3 linked regions of the Drosophila melanogaster genome follow. The protein of the gene in region 2 interacts with the protein of the main gene of each other region in a pairwise test. Each region holds a gene or a part of one and is shown on either strand. Other genes may lie near its edges.

Region 1 (6,136 bases), on a different chromosome or scaffold from region 2:
TATGAAACAAAACACAGTCGTAAAAGCTTTTCGCCGAGTCAAAACATTTTGCGGACCTTGGCACTCAACGTTGTTTTATCCATATAGTTTTTTTGATTAATTCGCTAGTGCAGTTTACGCCCCAAACCACAGGAAAAAGCTCCGGAAAAGTTTGGGTCGCGTGGGTGTTGCCCCTCCACCTTTTCGCGAGGTCTCCAAGTTCAATTGCATGACGAAACAGCCGCGGAACAGTTGCGTCGCTCCTTGATTAGCTGAATAAGCGGGAAAAATCCATAAATTGATTAAGTAAAACTCGGAAAACTAAAGTGAAATGCTGCTGCCAACGGTCAGCGGCCAATCCGCCGCAGGATGCAAATGGAAAAACTGCTGTCGCCGCAGCTGGGAAATGCTGATGGCGCCCGTATCGCCCAAGAACCTCAGGACCACGGCGCTCTTGACGAGCATCTACCAGTTGGTAAGTTCAAACATACATGTATATATAGTAGCGGATTATATAAGAGACTGGAGAATGGATATCTCAGGCGGGGCGCAGCGCACTGGCACGCAGGGAGATCCGGGAATCCCCGAGCAATCCACAATGTGCAGCCGCGGCCCCAAATACAAAAATTACGCACTGGATATGCAAAGCCATACCCCACTGGGCGCGCAAGGAGGCGTCGAAGGCGGCAATGGAACGCTCGCCCCCGCCTATCCCCGGAGAAGTCCAGGGGCGGAGCGAAGGAGACGCTCCTGCGGCGCAATGCGTCCGCACTTGAGTTTCGTGATCGGAAACGTGCCAGGACGAGCACCCTTTTTAAAGCTCTTCTCCTGAAATATATTGGGAGTTGTTGCGAAAGCTCCTAGAACCAGTTGGGAATTGTAGAAGCAGCTTTCTGGCTTCGTTCAGTTTGGTGAAAAATAAGGGTGGTAGCTTCAGCAGATCGCTGGGTTGTTCCGGTTTTCGCAAACACTTTTTGTTAAGTGAGATCCTAAACAGTCGCTTTTCTATATTCCCCAGTTAATCTCCCACTGCGCCCTTTTCCTGGTTCTCCTGGGACTGGCGCATGCCGAACAGATGTGCGAGGTGCTGGAGCTGGACATCTTGGACCAGAAGGACAATGGTTTCTACAACATGTCGCCCTTTCACAACGATCTTCGCCTGCAAACCGCTGCCCAATTGGCCGTCGCCACGGAGAATCTGCTCTACGTGATGGCTGGTATCGCGGGTACCTACGCCCTGAGTGCCATATTCCTGTTTTTCGGAGTCTTCAAAAATCGGCCGGGCCTAATCATACCCTGGCTGGTTGTGGAGTTCCTATTAATGATTGGTTTGGGGGCACTGGTCTTCATGCTGAGGGATACAAAAATCGTGCAATTGCTGGGTGGTCAAGTGCCCTACTGTAAGTTTGGATTTTTAGGCTTAAATTTTGAAGTAAATAATAACGAATTATCTTATATTTCAGTTATCATTTGCTACATCTTGATCTGCATGGATTACTGCAAGTGGTATGTGATGCATAGCTTCTACCAGAGTCTACGCACCATGAATAAGCTTCGAGAGATTGCCACTGTGGCCATACCATGTCCAGCTCCAGGAGCCGTAAGTTGGTATCAATATTTTGAAAACTTTAATAGTAACTTTCTTATACATTAGATACCCTATCGTTTCCAACGCGAGCACATGTATCTGGGCAGCAATGGATATAAGCACATTCTAACCGAGTCTCCCGATGGACAGTGTTAAACATGTACTGAAAGATTGGATATTTTTGGAACTTCCCATCAGGTGTCTTGATTGCAATTGCACTGCAAATTCTGTATTGCAAAACAGAGTGTGATATGGTTTTGGTAGAGATACTATTTTATATAGCCAACGGACATGGAGCGGCTTATTAGAAATGCAGAATCGGTTCAAAGCGTTCGGCGATTAAACTATAAACTATTTTTGTGTAGAAATAGCTCCCAAAGCACCTTAAAAAATAAAAAAAATAATAATAATATTTGGTCACTAACGCGACTCGAACTCGGAACTTCGAAGCGAAGGTCGCACTCTCTAACCCCTAGGCTACGGCAGCGAAACTCTCGGGATAGCCGAGATTGATTAAGCCCCAAAATCTTGAAACGAAAAACTTGTCTTAAATAAATTGGCGTTCATACAAATATGTATTGTAGCAACGAATTTTTTAAAGCTTAGTTTCTCAGTAGATTTACCACTACTTAACTATAATATGCCTTAAATTCTGTTGACTAGCAATATTTTAGGTATTTCTATTTTGTGGCACAGAACGAATATCAAATAAAAGTGCAAAATTGTAACATATCTAATGAACGTGTTTTTTATTATTTCCACACTTACTAATTTAATGTACATCAAGTTAGAAAAATGTTTGGAATATTCAGTTTTGGGTGCTTTTATTATTTGGCCTCAGCTACAGATGCACATTATCTAATAATATCTTTCTTGTCTTAGGATTATTTGTTCCACTAGCCTTTCCGGCCCTTTAGCTTCATAATTGGCGGTGGCAAAGTGGTTCCTACAGTGGTGGTGCTCAGAGTGCTGGCTCCCATTAGACTCATATCGTTATCCAGGCTGTCCATTACAAAGTCCACTACGGTTATATTGTTAGCGCCTTCAGAATCCCCCTTATCTGTGGGGATACTGATCTGAAACTGCAGCAAAACCACCAGATAAGTGACCATTGTGGTTAAGAGTCCTTTAAAGAGAGTCCTGTTCACATCAAAAAAGCCACCGCAGTTGATGGTCGATGGATTCATTTCGGTGGCTCGCAAAAACATATTTATCTCCGTCTGGGCATCCGAGTTCATCCAGTTAAGCTCCACCATGAGTAGTTTCTTCTGGAAATTGGTTCGCACATTAACCGAGGCATAATGTGCCTCATCGCAAATATAGAAGAGCAGTCCTATGTTCCACAAAGCCGTGATAGTCAGTCCTATGTCCTTGATGCCAAATCCCTCGGAGAGTTGCGACATTAGTCCATAAATCGAAAGGGTAATGATGAAGAACAAGTAGAGGCTCATGAAAACAAAGGTGTAGCACAGGGCATTTCCAGTATCACGGGTCAACTTGCTCAGTCGTAGCCACAGAACACGGTAGTCTGCCACCATGGCAGCGGGTCCAATGTGTTTCAGTGCCTTCTGGAACCGCTCCGCCAGAAGATGAGCCGTAATGCTCATGGCCTCGCAGATGAGGAACCACCAGGCACCCAGCATTGCAGTCAAGTTGTCCAGGATGCAGTAGGGCACCACCTGGTTAATGTTCAAATCCGACATGGTGACGTGCGTGATGACCACCGATAAAACCGAGAGAATTGGCAGCACGATGGCTATGTACACCGCCTTCTGTCGCAATTTCAGAGGCAAACTGTGCCCGGATATCTGGTAGTACAACACCTCAAAGTCATCCCAATCATTGAAGAGCTTTGCTATCTTCCTGGCCTCGTACCACAATATTGGTATAATCATAATGGGCAGGATGTTGACCAGAAAGAGGTATGCAATAACCGCCTCCTCGAAGGGTCCACTCAGGGAGCGCACAATGTGGATGCGGTTGTTGGCCACATAGCCTACATAGCACTGTAAAGCGGTTTTGGGTTACATAATGGTATCCATAGTCAATTTTGAAAAATGTTATGCAAACACCACACTCACCGCCAGGAGCACAAAGAAAACCACCGAGTAAATAAAGGAGGCGGAGTTCATTTCGAACTTGGCACGAGCAGGACCATGTCGCACGATGGGTAATACTCCAATAATCCTCAAGAACCAATTGATGGGATCTATGTTTCGGTAGAAAACACTCTGAAAGCAGCGAAATTCAGTTTTACAAAAATGGTTTTAACAGCGTAGCAATCCACAAACCGGCTTAAATTCCGGATTATTGGACGCCGTGCTGTCCGAGCTCTTTTTCCTATCCAACGGAGGAGCTTCGTAATCCGCATCCAATCGCTCCGCCAATCCAATGGAGTACTTGCGGACCCCGTACAAGTATGCCTGGGCATTAGCACTGTTCAGCGGTTTTGCATTGAGGAACACCGCGTCACCCTTCTTGCGTCGATAGTAGTTGGCCATTCCGGAGAGACTGTGTCCGGAATTTCCTTGTCCGTGGCCTTTTACCACTTTTTCGCCAGACGGACGCATTAGCCATGCACCTGCACACGCCCCCTTATCGACCACGCCCTCTGTTGACTTAGAGCCGGAGTTTTAGTTTCCTGTTGATGTGCGTTGTTTGTCTTTTGAATGAATTAACCTTAGCCCGGTGTCCCAATTTCGAATTTGTGTCAATGGCGCGCATGTGGCAATTTACAACACTGAAACCGGGCTGCCAGGCTACCGATTTGGTATCTAAATGGATCTAGTCCGGTCACACTGGTGGGTGTGGGTGCGAAAGATAAATAAATAAATATGTTGAAAATGGACAGGGAAAAGTTGATTGTGCCCAATCAAATTGGCTATCTGATACTAAAGGAAGATGGAGCAGTTCTGGAGTCCGGCGGAGATCTGAAGAACGATGAGCGCAGTGCAAATGTGATAATGGGATTACTAAATCTCACAGAGACGTGCGTTTTTAAACAAAGGATGAAGGAATTTTGTAATAATTACGCCTATATTGTAGCATCGACGAGTCCTTCATGCCGAGCAGCAGCTGCGAGAGGATCACCATCGATTACGAGCATCACTACTACAGCATCTGCATGTCCAACCGTAGAATATACATCATTAAGATCAGCAAATCGCAGAATGGCGTCACCACGACCACGAGCTCCTCCTCGTCGAACAGCGTGTATAACGATGCCAGCGATTCCGGGGCAGTGCTGGCTTGAAATCCGTCGTCGGATGTCCGACCCACTTGCAGATTCTGTTGGCAAGCAACCGGACAAAGACCCCACAATTGGCGCACTCCCATTATTTACCTAATCCTCCTCTTTATTTGTCAAAAAATACATCATCTGTGAGCTCTTGCTCGAAAATGCGCCTCGCTTCCTGGGTGACGTCCAGCAAGGTGGCCTTGCTATTGCACAGGATCACATAGTACTGCCTGTAGTTACAGCGCCGCTTCACAATCCAATAGTCATTGGTGGTCTTGACCTGAACTTCCTCGGCAGGAGCACTCTCCATTTCCGCCTTGCCACTGCCATTGGCCAAGTCCGCAATGATACTAAGCACATTGCGGGGCAGCCCTTGGGGCAGGTGCCTCTGAAAGTTCGTGTGGTGCTGCAGGCTTTGTTCGTTAATGAACAAGTACTTCGGCGCCGTTTCGCTGTTCCCGCTGGAGTTGTCCTGGCCTGCAGCACCCACCGCCTCCTTTGTCAACTCGCTGGATATGTCCCGGGCCAACGAAGTCAGTTGGGGAGCCATGTAGGCATGGAGATCGTCGTAGAGATCTTGTTTCGGCGCAACCTGGTCAGCTGACAAATGTGGAATGTTTCAAGTTGATTATTTTGGCTATTTAGTTCTAATCCTTAACATACCATTCAGAAACAGACACAGAGTTATGTGCAAAGCGCGGTAGATGAGCAAGTAGTAGGGTTTGGCCTCCTTGTCCAGTGTCACATAGACCTTCATTGGATGATCTTCCTCATTCACAGCGTCATGTTCATCTCCTGCGACCTTCTGACGACTTCTTACGAATCCGCCCACCTGGCATTCACTTATGCTTCGCTTTAGTGAAGGAGAAACTGCAATGGTGGAACTGCTGGCCTCGACTTTCAGCACGTGTTGCACGACATACGAGTGCACGCAGTGCAGATCCTCCGGGCTAAGTTTTCCGCCACAAAGGACCTGCTCCTGGTAGAGCATTATGCTCTCCTTGATGTCGGGGAAGGTCTCGCACAGGGTGCCAAAGTTTTGGGCCCGCAAGAAGAGCGTTTTATCCAATGGCAGATACTGAATGGAATGCAGCATATCGATGATATCACATTGCGCGGGATCCCTCAGGTTGGTCAGATGCTGATCATAGAACTGGAGTAGCTTCTGGCAGAGCAGTTCCCTACGCTTATCCGGATTAGGTTCTTCACTTCCGCAGGAGGAGAAACATCCGTTTTGAAAGCGAAACATTTGATAGCATTGTCTAAGTATTGCTCTATAAATCCTGTCGGAGATCTCGGCACCCCGATAATCGGCCACCTCCACGCCCTCC
Region 2 (8,120 bases):
GAGGCCTTCTTCTATCGGGAAAACTTCGCAAGAAATAAGGATCAGCTGGCCCAGCATCTTTACAAGATGTATAACGCCCAGGTGTTCAACAACGAGCTGGATGTGCCCATCACCTGGTCCAAATTGCTGCGCAACACTGCCGGCCGGTGCATGAACAAGCGCAAGTGGGTGATTCTTATAGAGACAACCAGATATCCTCCTTGAATTCGATAAATATATATTGTTTGCAGACTTAACCAGCGTAGCAGCGTGGTGGAACTGAGCGTCAAAGTGCTGACTACCGCGGACCGCCTGCGTTGCACCTTGATACACGAACTCTGCCATGCTGCGGCCTGGGTATTCAATGGCGAGGGTGGACACGGACGGGTGTGGAAGATGTGGGCACAAAGAGCCAACGACAAGTTCCCCGATCTCCCGCAGATCAAGGTCTGCCACAACTATAGCATTGAATTCAAGTATACCTACAAGTGCCTGAGCTGCGACAAAGCGTAAGTTCTCCCAAGTGATAAAAAGAATATTATTGTCATGCAGTTTTTACGCATCACAGGTCACATGCCCATTCCCGATCCCGCAAGGTGGAAGATTTGCGCTGCAGGATCTGCCGGGGACCCATCACCCTCTTCCTGAACAAAAAGGACAAGCAAGGAAACACCGTATCCACGCCGGCGGGCGAGGCGAAGGGATTTGCTAAGTTCGTTAAGGACAACTTCCAGAGACACAAGCGCGACAACATGACTGCCGCACAGGTGATGCGCATCCTGAGCGTGGAGTACGCCAAGCAGAAGGGTCAGCCGGCGGAGGAGACAGCGGCGTCGATCGCCAGCCGAGTGGAAACGCTGACACTGGACGAGTCGTCCAACTAGCTGGGTTCTCTTTTGAGTTTTGTTAAATTATGTGCTCCAAGCCCTAAACCATTTTTGGTATATCATAGACAATTTGAAAAACTTAACTGAGATCTCAGTTCGTGCGAAGTAGTAGAAGTAGTATATTTTGTTTAATGTATTATATATTTTCTTAACCAGAAACATGGTTTCCATTAAAATTAAACGGACATTTAAAAGCTAGTGCTGTAAAGCTCGATTTTGCATAGCCGGTGTCGGCCGGCGGTGTTGGTAAAGGCGATGCTTGGACTCATTACTTACAGTGAAAGAGTATGTCTGTTTATGTATGTTAATATATGCCTAATACAACCTATTAAATAATTGCTTTGCACAATCTTGAAATGTTAAATTCTACACTGGTGAAAAGTGAGTAGTGCGGTGTACTTGCTAAGGCTAGACACAACAATTTTCTAGATGGAGTAGCAAAAAAAAAAAAAAAAAATGGCAGGGTATCCACGGGCCTACCTCCTACCTTGGCCCAAGGCGTATTAACACTGTGTTTCCGCAGTGGCGCTGGTCACACTACCCGAACTCACACAAAGCCACGGTAAACATTTGTCGCAGAACCGAACACGTCAGCTACGGGGATTGATTGTTAAACAACGTTTCTATCGCCCCGCAAATCCGATCCGTAGCAGCAGTCCATCCTGCGCCGTCCGCATCCGATCCGCGAAGTATTTTCCAGGGCAAAAACGTCAAACGCAGCAGCAAAATGGTAAGAGCCCCGACCTACGCACGCACACACCTACACGTCGGCGATTTTGGGTCTCATCGGCGGGGGTTATTGCATTCCGGTATTATCACTAAACCTATCCGACTTGCAGGTATTAATTGCTGCGGCTGTCTGCACGAAGAATGGCAAAGGTAAGTGGCTTGCATGCACCGCAAGAAATAATCACTTTAGCTAACCCGTAACGTTTGTACACGCAGTGATTCTGTCACGTCAGTTCGTCGAGATGACGAAGGCACGCATCGAGGGACTGCTGGCTGCCTTTCCCAAGCTGATGACTGCTGGCAAGCAGCACACTTACGTGGAGACGGACTCCGTGCGCTACGTCTACCAGCCGATGGAGAAACTATATATGCTGCTCATCACCACTAAGGCCAGCAACATTCTGGAGGATCTGGAGACCCTGCGCCTCTTCTCGAAAGTGGTGAGTTGCACACGGATGTACTCAAGCCGCAGTGTTAATCAGGCCCATCGCTTGCAGATTCCCGAGTACAGCCACTCGCTCGACGAGAAGGAGATTGTGGAGAATGCCTTCAATCTGATCTTCGCATTTGACGAGATCGTGGCACTCGGCTACAGGGAGAGCGTCAACTTGGCCCAGATCAAGACCTTCGTGGAGATGGACTCACATGAGGAGAAGGTCTACCAGGCAGTGCGTCAGACGCAGGAGCGTGATGCGCGCCAGAAGATGCGCGAGAAGGCCAAGGAACTGCAGCGGCAGCGCATGGAGGCCAGCAAACGGGGTGGTCCCTCCCTGGGTGGCATTGGCAGCCGCAGCGGCGGCTTTAGCGCCGACGGAATTGGCAGTAGCGGCGTGAGCAGCAGTTCCGGTGCCTCCAGCGCCAACACCGGCATCACCTCCATCGATGTGGACACCAAATCCAAGGCGGCTGCGTAAGTTCTTTCTCTGCTCTATTAAATCTAGGCTCCTGACTCATTGCTCTGATTTCATCAGCAGTAAACCAGCTTCCCGCAATGCCCTCAAGCTAGGTGGCAAGTCCAAGGACGTCGATAGTTTCGTGGATCAGCTGAAGAACGAGGGCGAGAAGATTGCCAATCTGGCACCGGCGGCGCCCGCTGGAGGTTCCAGTGCTGCAGCTAGCGCCAGTGCAGCGGCCAAGGCAGCTATCGCGTCGGACATTCACAAAGAGAGGTGGGTTTCAGCTCGATTGTATAGTTAGTTATTAAATGCATAACATCTATTTTCAGCGTACATCTGAAGATTGAGGACAAGCTAGTAGTGCGTCTGGGACGCGATGGTGGCGTGCAGCAGTTCGAGAACTCGGGCCTCCTGACGTTGCGCATTACGGACGAGGCCTACGGACGCATTTTGCTGAAGCTGTCTCCCAACCACACACAGGGCCTGCAGTTGCAGACCCACCCCAACGTGGACAAGGAGCTGTTCAAGTCGCGCACTACCATCGGACTAAAGAACTTGGGCAAGCCGTTTCCCCTTAACACCGATGTGGGTGTGCTCAAGTGGCGCTTCGTCTCGCAGGACGAGTCGGCAGTCCCGCTGACCAGTAAGTTCATCCAAACCCAAACAACTTCTTCCCTCTCGCTCAGCCACGTGCTTGTGTTTCTCCCTTTTTCCCAGTTAACTGCTGGCCATCGGATAATGGAGAGGGTGGATGCGATGTTAACATTGAGTATGAACTGGAGGCGCAGCAGCTAGAGCTGCAGGACGTGGCCATTGTCATTCCCTTGCCGTAAGTGTAGTAATGGCGTAGATGTGCAGGCGATTACTTATTCCATTTCACCCTTAGAATGAATGTGCAGCCTTCGGTGGCGGAGTACGACGGCACCTACAACTACGATTCACGCAAGCATGTGCTCCAGTGGCACATTCCAATAATCGATGCCGCCAACAAGTCCGGTTCTATGGAGTTCAGCTGCAGTGCCTCCATTCCCGGTGACTTCTTCCCCTTGCAGGTGTCCTTCGTCTCGAAAACGCCGTATGCGGGCGTCGTGGCCCAGGATGTGGTGCAGGTGGACAGCGAGGCGGCGGTCAAGTATTCAAGCGAGTCCATTCTGTTCGTGGAAAAGTACGAGATCGTGTAGGCCGCGCCGCTGGCCACGCCCACCTAAGTAGTACATAAATATACATAATTTCCCGGGGTCATCCGATGCGATGCAATTAATTCAACTGCTGCAGCATGTTGAGAATTATTTTTCCATGTGCGAACTTTACATATTTATGGCGCAGACAGCTTCTCAGAGCGAGTAATTGATTCCAAAAAAAAAAAAAAAAACACCATCAAAGCCAATTAATTAAACTAATTTTGTGCACTCCGCTGCGCTGCATATAACGGTATCAAATAAATTAATTGCAATTAGTTGTAACTGGCGATTGCAGTGTTTTGTTTTGTGTGCTTCGTCGCACCCCTTCGATTTGAGTAATTTGTATGTAGATTGCTATGAATAAACCATATACAATATACACCAAAGTGGATTGTTTCTGGATTCTTAACTATAAGCGAAGGTTATCCCTTTTTTTTAAACTAAAAACTAAATATTAAATTTGAGTCACTTTTTTTTGCAAGTAGTACCCACTGTGCATGGATTCTTAACGCCCGGCTTATTGGTATTGCCGTCTTCTCGGCGAGCGGTCACACTGGTCATTGTTTTGGTTCTGTTCTTGCTTTGTTTTTTCACTGCGGAAATAACGACGTCGTCCATGGAGCAGCAACTGGAGAAAGTCCTAGCGGAAATGTAGGCACACTCGATCCGTCGATTCCAGATAGTACTCCAAATAAACCACAAATCCATAACGTATTTTCAGCGCCGCACGGCAGGACACAGTGGGAGCTCTGCTGGCCAATCGCCAGGGATTGTGTTTGGGCAGTGAGTATCGATGATTAGTCAGTGGCCGTGCCGTAATGCCACAATACATTTTTGCAGCCAAAGGAGACATTGATCCGAACGTGTCCGGCATCGGAATGGCCATTTCCGAGCAGGTGGCCAAACTGGAGCTGAATGCCACGGCTCCTGCAACGATTTGCCTTTACAGCGGAAACAAGTAAGTGGGAGGAGGGATATGAGGGGCTGTATCTAGGTGGACTAGATACGGACTACTCTTGGAATAGTCGGAATAGTTTAAAGAATGTACCTTAAACTATTTATGAATTATATTTCTGCTGCGTATTAATTGACACCCGTTTCTTTCCCCGCAGACGCTGTGTCATCCAGAAGGACGGCGAGATCACAGGCGTTATCTTCAAGCAGCCGACGGGTACATCGGCGACCGCCCCCAGCAACTAACGAAAGTTGGGGCCTCAATCGCAACTCTCAGGCCAAATACGCAAGTCAAAATACGGATACGGATACAAAGCCAGATACAGATACTTATATCTTCCAAGTCGCGCCCGCTTCGCTCGATTCGCCCGATGGTAGCGCCTGTTACATTTGTCGCTCATTCTAACCGATAGCCATTACCATAAGCATTGTTTTGTACGACTCGCATAGCATAAGCATTACGGATTACGCATTAAGCACTGCTGTTACTTGATCTTGTTTGTCTTAACCAGTCTAGCGTCATCAACATGTACATAAAGACTTTGTACGATTAAGCCCCAGAAAGTAAACACAATGTACACCAATTAAATTTATAGCGATGAAGCAAGCCAGCTAAGAGCTTTTGAACTTGGCCATTTACTCGATTTTCAAACGTAATTACTGAATCATAACGGCCTGGTGTGCTTCGTGCAGCAGTATCTTGCACATTTTCCGGGTTTGCATTTCGGGTTGGGTGCACCGCATCGAGGAAATGCCGGCGCCCACGTCATGTAAGAAGTTGTACACAAACGTGGACGTGGACGTGGGCATGGCATGATGCATGCAACAAGGCGGTAACAATGCAGCGGTATCAGTAGTGCCAGCAGACAAATTGCAGCGCATTCCGGAGCCCACGAGCCATGCTATCCACAATACACACTCAATGGAAGAGATTGTTTCAAATAGCTAATCGCCATATTAGTTCGTTTACATGCGAAGTCCTTGCTGATTGGAATTCGCTTTAGAAGGCGTTCGCTCTAATTGGAAGGTATCCTTCCTGGCAAGAGAGGTGTGGCGCCTTAAACTACTGCAGATCTGCGATCCCTGGTTCCATGATCCTTGTGGCACCGCCGCGATGTGGAGCTTGTTTGGTTGGTTTTGCGCCTCGGATATGCAAGCACATCTGCTAGGTAAACCCACTCTGTTTGCGGCTTGTGTCTACCTGTTGCAGCCTTGAACTTTCACCAGGGGCACTGGCGACCCACGTGTGGCGTCTAGGCCTCCGTCGTTGCCTCTTTTTCGTTTTTTCCCTGCGTTTCTGTGGGTGTCGAAAAGCTGCGGCTGTGCAAGGTAAACACCGCAGAGACAATAAAGTTGATAAAACATGACAAAAACAAAAAATGAGCACCGAAATTGGCACCAAGGTGCGTTTGTTTAGCCAGCGCAATAAAGCCTTCAACTCGAATTAAGCGTTCAGTTGGATGGATCCCCATGTGACCAGTGATGACCTATCTCGGTGTTTGCGTACCATCGGACATGGAGAGCCCCACTCAAATTGTTCGCGCTTCATGACCCTTATAACTCATACGCAGCATTGACATAAGAAACACAGGGCATTACAGAAGTATTCCCATTATTGAAATGCCACCATTTTATGTCTATCTCTAAAAACTGACGTGGATACCCAGAATGCCGAGCGCAGCGAACATTAACCCACATTATTCTTGCTCATCCACTGTAAGCTTCACTTTCGTTTTTATAGAACTGAAATCACGACGCGGAAAACTGGTTACCTTTCCCAACGAAAGTCATCTCTCGAAAGCGAGATGATTCACGTTGCAGTCGAAGAGAAATTCCAAAGTGCGGCGCTGCATTTTTCACAAATGCATGCGTGTACATACATATACATATATCGAATCTGATCTGATCCACCAATAAGATTTCCGACTGTTTAAGATTCGAGAAACAAGGCATTAAATAAACAAAGAACCTCATTAAGGTCATAATAATAAGCGGCAATAGTAACCACAATAATAACGTAGTGTGAAGCTACAGGAATACAAAGCCTTCCAAAATAATACGCTTTTTGTTTACAAAAAAGGTAAAACTCGTCTGAATATAGAATGTCATACCTCGTTGGACTCGTATTAAAATTTCCCATCGGATGGCATTCCAGGCTGGAAATGTTGAATTTTGACCATTTTTCGCAAAAAATGATGATGTTACCCCTTACAGAAAATCAAAATTTTGGCATAAAATATTTTTGTTCGAAATCATCACGCAAATTATAGGGCTCGTTAGTTGGGAACATTAGCTGCATAAAGATGTAATTGTTATATCTGTGCGAGGTTTTTTGGGCAAGTTATGATGTAACACCTCCGTAATGAACCTAGTTTTGCTCAAATCCTGTTTTTTTTACCTAGAATAATATGTTTTTTATTCATAACATCTAAAGTATCGGTCTAATCATGGAATGTCATACCTCGTTGGACTCGTAATAAAATTTCCCATCGGATGGCATTCCAGGCTGGAAATGTTGAATTTTGAACATTTTTCGCAAAAAATGATGATGTTACCCCTTATAAAAAATTCTAAATTTTGAAAAATTTTTTTTTTTTTAATCCCCTTAAAAGTGGTGGGCGTCGTTAGTTTGGATAATTAGCTGTGCAAAGCACTATTTTGTATGGATGTTTGACCTTTTTTTGCCCTGTTATTAAGAAAAACAATCCGAAAAAACGTATTTTACTAAAATCCTGATATCTGTCCAAAATGATGTATGATTGTACCAGACATTCGGAACCAGATATAGCTTGATGACAGTGTAGTGAGCAATTCTTCTTTTTTGGGTGTAACATCTCGTCATGATCTTGGGTGATTATGTCATGGGCTATGCGGTTAATCGCGGTCTCCAAATTCTTTCAACTTGGAGTATAGTTCGATGGGCAGCAATTACTTGCTTTTTATAGCTGAACCGCAAAGATTTTGGTAGGCTGGTCAACAGGTGACGCAAAATCGATTGAAATAAAATAATATGCCACAGTGATGACGACTTCTTTTTCATAAAAAGCTTACGCTCGTGAATCATCGGATTGGGGAACTCGATTTCGGGTTTTCGCCTTATTTGGTCAATTCTACAGCCGATTCGGAGTATTGCACAATCTGCATGAATCATTGGCCATTTGGCCGAATGCCACTGCTTGGCATCTGCTCAGATAGCCCCCAAGTTACTATCATTGTTTTGCCAGATAGCTTTCAGAATGTAATTCTCCGAACTTTAAAGTAGAAACTGCACGTGGTTATGGAGGAGTTTGTTCTGCCCAGCCGTGGCGTCTTTTAAGTGGTCACCTAATTGCGTCACTTTGGGGAAAGATTTGCATGCCACCATTCCATGGGAGTCGTCGTCGTCGACGACTGGCTGTCTGGCGGAAAGCCTTAAATGGAAAAATGGCACACAATGGCGCGATGCTATCTTCGCCCTTCCCCTATTGACTCTCCCCACTCGGATTCTCGGCCAG
Region 3 (6,153 bases), 330 kb from region 2:
CTTTGCAACCTTGGTAACATAAAGGCAAATTAGTTTCAGAGTATTCACACATTAAGCTCTATCCAGTTTCCTAGTTGTTTATATGGATTAAGCGATTATGTACAGGGTATACATGGGTAAAAGAAAGCGTTATGATTAATAAAAAAAAGGACTACAACTGTGGCTCGGTATCGTCAGCACCTCCCTCCTCGCCCATTTCGTCGTCTGCACACTCTAATGTCATATCTTCCAACATCTCCTCCAGTGTGATCTGGGGCACATCACCTCCAGCGGCCTGTACCTCGATTGGTATCGTCTTGTTAGTGTCCCGATAGATGTTGACCTGACCGCGGATATCCTCGTTTTCCTCGAGATCGTCAAGAAACTCGTGGTAGTCGTACTTGCTGCGCTCATCGGTAGCCTCCGCCGCCAGATGCTTAATCTTCCACACGCGCTGACTGAGTCTGGTCTGTCGATCGTAGTGCTTGCGCACAAGAATTACATCCGGAATTTCATCCGACGACAATTTGTCGAACTCCAGATCGTTGATGTTGGCCTCTCCGGTGTTGTAGCCCATTACGGAATCGCCCACCTTGAGCAGGTGGCCCAAGTGGGAGCGTGTGTGAATGGGGTTATCGTTGATGCCCAGCTCCGAGGCGCGCACCACCCAAATGTCGCAGAGAGCGTGCTTGAAGGAAACCTGCCCTTGACCAGGATAGGTCTTTCGATCCTTTTCCATGATCACATCAATGTCCATGACGACGTACTCAACCAGCTGCTTGGGATTGCAGACGGCCTCAAAGGGAGCTCTGAAAAAAGCAATTTAATTGGCTTACTCGAAGATAACCTTTGTCAAATAGGAGTCCCACCTGAAATAGACCTGCGAGGTGAGTTCTGCAATCTGTGCGGTCAGGGGATCAATCAAGTGAATGCTGCTAGACACCCGGTTGACCAGAACCAATGGCGAGAGATTTCCCAGCTGGTGGCGCAGCTTTTTGGACAGGCAAACTGCACTGTCCTTCGATACTGGTGCTATTTCCACTGACCAGTTGTACTTGTAGTTATAGTTGTTGCTGTGGATGTCGTGAGAGATGAGACGCTTCGAGGTTGTTACCTTGCCGGGCACCATGGTCAGGAGGAAATCAACCATGCGCCGGGCATGATTATCATTGGCATAGAAGAAATCCAGGCCGCCATGCTCCGGCTTTATGCCCAGAGTGTTCTCGTGGGCTTTGTGCTTAAGGATCAGCTGTTCCAGATAGTAAAAGGTTTTCTTGTTCTCGGCCCGCTGACGAACCTGCACGAGGCAGCGCCAGAAGTCCTTGGCCTCGGTCCGATGGCAGTCGTTGCACATCTGGTTCTGCACAGTGAACTCCACCACGAATACCTGCTGGAGCATCGTTCCCCCGATGATCTCCCCATGCACAGTCAGCTTCACCTTTATGCGCTTGGAGTGCTGTTCTGTCCAGATGAAGCCGGCATCCACCAACTTCACTTCCTTCAGGCCTTTTAGCTTCTTAAGGCAAATGGCCAAGAGTTCGCGGGACTCCAAGGCGGCCTGTATCCACTCGTTCGGCGGTTGCAGATAGCGCTCGCAATTACGACAGAAGTGGAGCACGGCCTGCTTTGGGATGTTCTCCGTGATGTCGACATGGTTGCGCAGGCAGGTGACGCACATGTTGGCCGGATTCGGCTGGATGGCCACTCCGCACTCGCAGCACAGGATGACGGCGTTCGATCCGGCGCCCTTGCCGTCCGCTGCGCCCAGCGGGCTAACCCCAACGTATTCGTGATCCATGAATCCTCCGGAGGTCTATTCGGTCCAGCTATTTCACAATGGCGTTGTAGAATACGATGAAATATTCCCACGAAGTACACAAATTTGTAAACACGTGCGTATAGGTGTATATCGATTGGCCAGAGATCAGCGATATTATTAATCGGCGATTTAAGTTAAGCCTTTTCCAGCTAGAGTAGCTAAAAGTGAGATTAACGATAAAACGACGTTAAACGAGTGAGACTCAAAGCTAAATGGGACATTTGGAACGATTTCCTAAAATTCACTTAAAAATATAGTACTCATTCGACTGTCTTCATCTTTATTTTGGCTAGTAAATGTACGCCCAATTATCGATACATTCGCCGCCGTCATCACTGACAGACCAGCTGAGGCGACGGACTCGACTGCCGGAAACTTTTATGGACTTGGAAGGGATTTGCCGCCATGCAGAAGAAGCCGATTAACACCAACACGCTGCTGGACAAGCTGCACCGCGGCGCGGTGTATGCCTGCATTGGAGTCACCCTGTACGGCACCTACATCCTGGGAATGCGCTACTACCACTACTGCACGGTCATCCGACCGGAGAAGCAGCAGGCGGAGCTGAAGCTCCTGGACGAGGGAGCCCACGACAAGGCCAAGGAACTGAAGTACTAGGCGCGCCCTCCTCCGCCCCTTTAATTGTTAAATGTCTGTTAAGCGCAATAAACTGTAAGGAAATGTAAGCATTTTCAGCTGAAAACGGCCAACGCCGGTTGTTGTTGTGTAACCTCGGACAGCTGGCCAAAGTGGAGGACCGTCGGCAGGCCCGGTGGGATTGTAAGATTCCAGATTCAAGATCTAACCCTGGAACCAAGCCAACAATGCGCAATTAGCCGTCTGGGCCGTAAATCAAACTGGTCGGCTACAATGGGAAATCAATCAATCGACAGCGACATGGACATCGACCCGTTCGGCGGACTAGACTTAGTCAAGAATTATAATTTAGCTGGCAATCAAATATGTTGTCATCTCCGGATCGTGACCAGGTCCCAGTCCATAGACCAAACCCCTTGGCTGCTTGGTCTTCCGCTTGCCCAACGCGTCTCGCGTGCATTCACCTCCAATGGGCAGAGCATAAATATTAAACGATGTGGATACGAAAACAACCGCGGGGAGAAGGAGACAATGGCGGTGCCACCCACTTTTGGCCAGAGATGGCGAGACGTCGTCGATTGGGAAAATCTTTTGCATGCTTCATTCAACAATGTTGCCTCCGGCGTTGCTTCATTCATGACTTGGGAACTCGGAGCAGCAAAAGCAACAGCCGCAGCAGACTGCAATTGCGATTTGCAATTGCCACTGCGGTCAAGGTCGTCCTTTATTGTGTGGGCACGGCACTGGGTACTGGGTAGCAAGTACCCCCGGCAGACGGAAGTGATCGAGAATAATGGAACGCGCAGAACAGAGTCGTCTGCCCAAATGGCTATCAAATTGTTTTAAAACTTTAGTATATTAAGCAAAAGCTGTGCTCCTCTGAATAGAAGATCTCTTCAACCTAGTTTCAAGCCCATTAAAACTAATGACCATTGACCTGGTCACCGATCCTTGTCCCAATATACCCCTTAAGCCAGAGGTCTCCGTCAAAGTCGTGCACTTTGGATATTCTGTCGATAAGACTTTGCATTGGAAATGATCTGGCAGAGATCTCAGCTGTCTGGCAGCTTAATTAAAATGCCAAAACGCTGCCAAACGTGCAATTGTTTGTAATTTGTGTATAATGCTGGCGCGCATATGCGATTCCCACGGGGCCAGTGGCATCCCAGCATTTGGCCAGCTTCTGAACGAGCTTAGGTAATAGTGCGCCTTTTGGGCGCTGCTGGCCATCCGATCTGGCAGTGAAAGTGTTACACGATATGCATACCGTGTACGAGAGGGGCACTTGGTGATTGTGGAACGCGTCGAGTGTCTCGTGTTGCACGTTGCTTGTGGATCGCGTTGCTGCCCCACTTCGGTTACCCAACGAGCCTGGGATCTTAGAATTTCGACTACGCTGGCAATTATAACCGATATCGTTAGTTTCCACGCCCACTCCACCTCACTCCCCCCACTGCAATCCTCCGCCAAGTTCTCCTCCGCCGGATGAGCGGATGGATGACCTTTTGGCTCCGCAGCATAAACAATATTCGGTTTCAAGTCCTCAACCCGTCATGCATTCAATTCAGCTGCAACAATCGCTGCTGCTGCTGCTGCTGCCGCCGTTATTGTCAGTTTGCATAATTGCAACTGTAGCAGCAACTGGCAACAATAAGCCAAGCCGGGTGACTATAAAAGCGTCGGGCCACTGGCAGCCATCAACAAACCTCGCCTGGCGCCCTACCCATCAAGTCAACCAGCCAACAGCCACTAGCAACATCTGCAGCAGCAACATGAAGTTCTTGGTAAGCAGCAACACCAGGACATTAGGATACCAGGATACCAGGACACCGGTCAAGCAAACGAGTGGACTTTTTTTTGAGTGACAGTTTATCCAACAAAATACAAGTTATTTAAAATTGCTGGAAGTGCTCTGGCTACAATTTGAAACAAATCATTTGTTAACATCGTTTCAAATGTTTCATATACCGAACCTTTTTTTCTCTGTGCAGTGCGTGTTCGTCATCCTGGCCATTTGCTTCATGAGCACCTGGGCAGCAGTTTCGGAGCCTGCTCCTGAAGCTCTGGAGCCGGAGCCATCCGCCGTGGATGAGAAGAAGACGGAGAAGAGAGGCATCTACGGGTTCGGCCACGGCTATGGCGGCTACGGCGGATACGGCGGATACGGTGCCTATGGACACGGTCACTACGGCGGCTACGGTGGACTGAGCAGTCCCTACTACGGCGGCTACGGATACGTCCATGCGGCGCCCTACTACGGCGGACACCACGGCTACTATCCGTACCACCATGGCCACTACGGCTTCTACTAGGACCACTACCTATCCCCAAGATCGTAATGCATACTGTTTTTTTTTTCTCGATCGCTCCATGCTCATCACTGCACCATCATTCGTATATGTATATGTACTGGTTTTCCCCCATCATTCACCGCAATATAAATGTACTGCAAATAGCGAATACATTACTCGCATGTCTTTGAATTTGGGTTGGATGTAGTACAAATATGATATATGTACATATGTAAACAAAGTTAAATCCTACTCAACAATAAAGAATCGATTACATTGCATATGTATGACAGTAAAAGTGATTTTCGGTCACTCTATGGGGGCCAGTGAAGGTATAAAGCCGCTATTGGCCCAGTGACTGTTATACAAAAGTCACTGTTCTAATTGCGATCGGCGCGTGACCACCAGTCTTTCGGATCATCAGCAAAAATCAGGAATTCGACTTCGAGATGCTGAAGCGCGATCTGCAGAAAATCACACTCAAGCTGTCCGATCTCAAGGACTATGAGGTTGCCCGCCAAAAGAACAAGTTAAAGGGCGCCCCGCGACCTAGGCTTTCTCAGGACGCCCTCCCCGGAGACGACGCCTCCACTTCGGGAACAACGGCAAGTTGCAGTTCCAACACGGAAACGGCCACGGAAACCGCATCGGGATCCGGATCAGGGTCTGGATCGGGCTCGGGTTCTGGGTCCGGGTCGTACATTACGGGAATGGGCTACCGTTCGGAGACACCCTCCTCCGCATCGTACACCACGTCGACGACCCCGACTCCGGCCACTCAGGAGGAGATACTGAGACCCTCGTCCGCCGTCACGGCCACCACAACCACTGGCACCACTAATTCCGGCTCCACGGATGACGTGAGCGTGGCGGCCGTAGTGGATGACACGGATACCATTGACGAAATCAGCGATGACAACTGGGTGGACCTGAATGCGGACACCAACGATACCGTTGATACCCAGCCGGAGGAGCAGGACCAACTGCAAGAGGTGGAGGAGGAGGATGGGGCTAGGGGAGGAGTGTAATCCTGACCGCTTATCGCGTTATGAAAACATAGCGCAGCTGCACTCAAAGCCCACCCCCCCCCCCCCCATTTCACATTCCATTTATCATAACAATTTGTATACGTAAACAAGTATAATAACCCATTGCATGCTCCACTTACCTAGCTGCTAATAATAATAGTTTGCAAGGTTATATGTCGCTTATGTCATCTTCAAATCGAAACATATGCATTTTATAGATTTGGTTAACTACGGTAAATGGTTTTGCGGCCTTTTAATCGGGAGGACGTGCGATCGGATTATATCGAGTGGGGAATGCGGGTCCTCCTAATTGGCTCTCCTCAGAAGGAGCTAGGCAAGCGGCAGACGACAACAAGTGGCTTATGGCCACCGGCAACAGGTGGACGCAGTGGAGTGGGCACTAGGGACTGTTGTGGAACGAGATGCTATTCAAGCGCCC

The links. Proteins that work in one complex are often made in the same cells at the same time.
Region 1: the proteins of Lamtor5 (region 2) and Lamtor4 interact in a two-hybrid assay, tested with the Drosophila melanogaster proteins (one large-scale study listed by BioGRID).
Region 3: the proteins of Lamtor5 (region 2) and CG17777 interact in a two-hybrid assay, tested with the Drosophila melanogaster proteins (one large-scale study listed by BioGRID).

Annotation. Positions count from the first base shown.
Region 1 is NT_037436.4:3,892,536-3,898,671, forward strand, and holds Lamtor4 (late endosomal/lysosomal adaptor, MAPK and MTOR activator 4), read left to right. Parts: upstream 1-4,364; 5' UTR 4,365-4,401; coding exon 4,402-4,556; intron 4,557-4,612; coding exon 4,613-4,820; downstream 4,821-6,136. Other genes in the region: Fie (fire exit), read left to right, coding at 311-454, 998-1,379, 1,443-1,579, 1,634-1,723; Gr63a (gustatory receptor 63a), read right to left, coding at 2,464-3,573, 3,649-3,798, 3,859-4,068; Ccz1 (Caffeine, calcium, zinc sensitivity 1), read right to left, coding at 4,924-5,405, 5,469-6,136. UniProt on the Drosophila melanogaster protein: Regulator of the TOR pathway, a signaling cascade that promotes cell growth in response to growth factors, energy levels, and amino acids. As part of the Ragulator complex, may activate the TOR signaling cascade in response to amino acids.
Region 2 is NC_004354.4:1,855,071-1,863,190, reverse strand, and holds Lamtor5 (late endosomal/lysosomal adaptor, MAPK and MTOR activator 5), read left to right. Parts: upstream 1-4,219; 5' UTR 4,220-4,288; coding exon 4,289-4,323; intron 4,324-4,393; coding exon 4,394-4,455; intron 4,456-4,512; coding exon 4,513-4,630; intron 4,631-4,784; coding exon 4,785-4,872; 3' UTR 4,873-5,302; downstream 5,303-8,120. Other genes in the region: Gcna (germ cell nuclear acidic peptidase), read left to right, coding at 1-164, 231-488, 548-863; deltaCOP (coat protein (coatomer) delta), read left to right, coding at 1,594-1,596, 1,706-1,745, 1,812-2,035, 2,093-2,505, 2,567-2,764, 2,821-3,134, 3,209-3,320, 3,378-3,672.
Region 3 is NC_004354.4:2,182,762-2,188,914, forward strand, and holds CG17777 (uncharacterized protein), read left to right. Parts: upstream 1-4,093; 5' UTR 4,094-4,167; coding exon 4,168-4,179; intron 4,180-4,386; coding exon 4,387-4,707; 3' UTR 4,708-4,980; downstream 4,981-6,153. Other genes in the region: Nmd3 (Nonsense-mediated mRNA 3), read right to left, coding at 152-788, 849-1,777; CG17776 (uncharacterized protein), read left to right, coding at 2,204-2,416; CG3457 (uncharacterized protein), read left to right, coding at 5,136-5,714.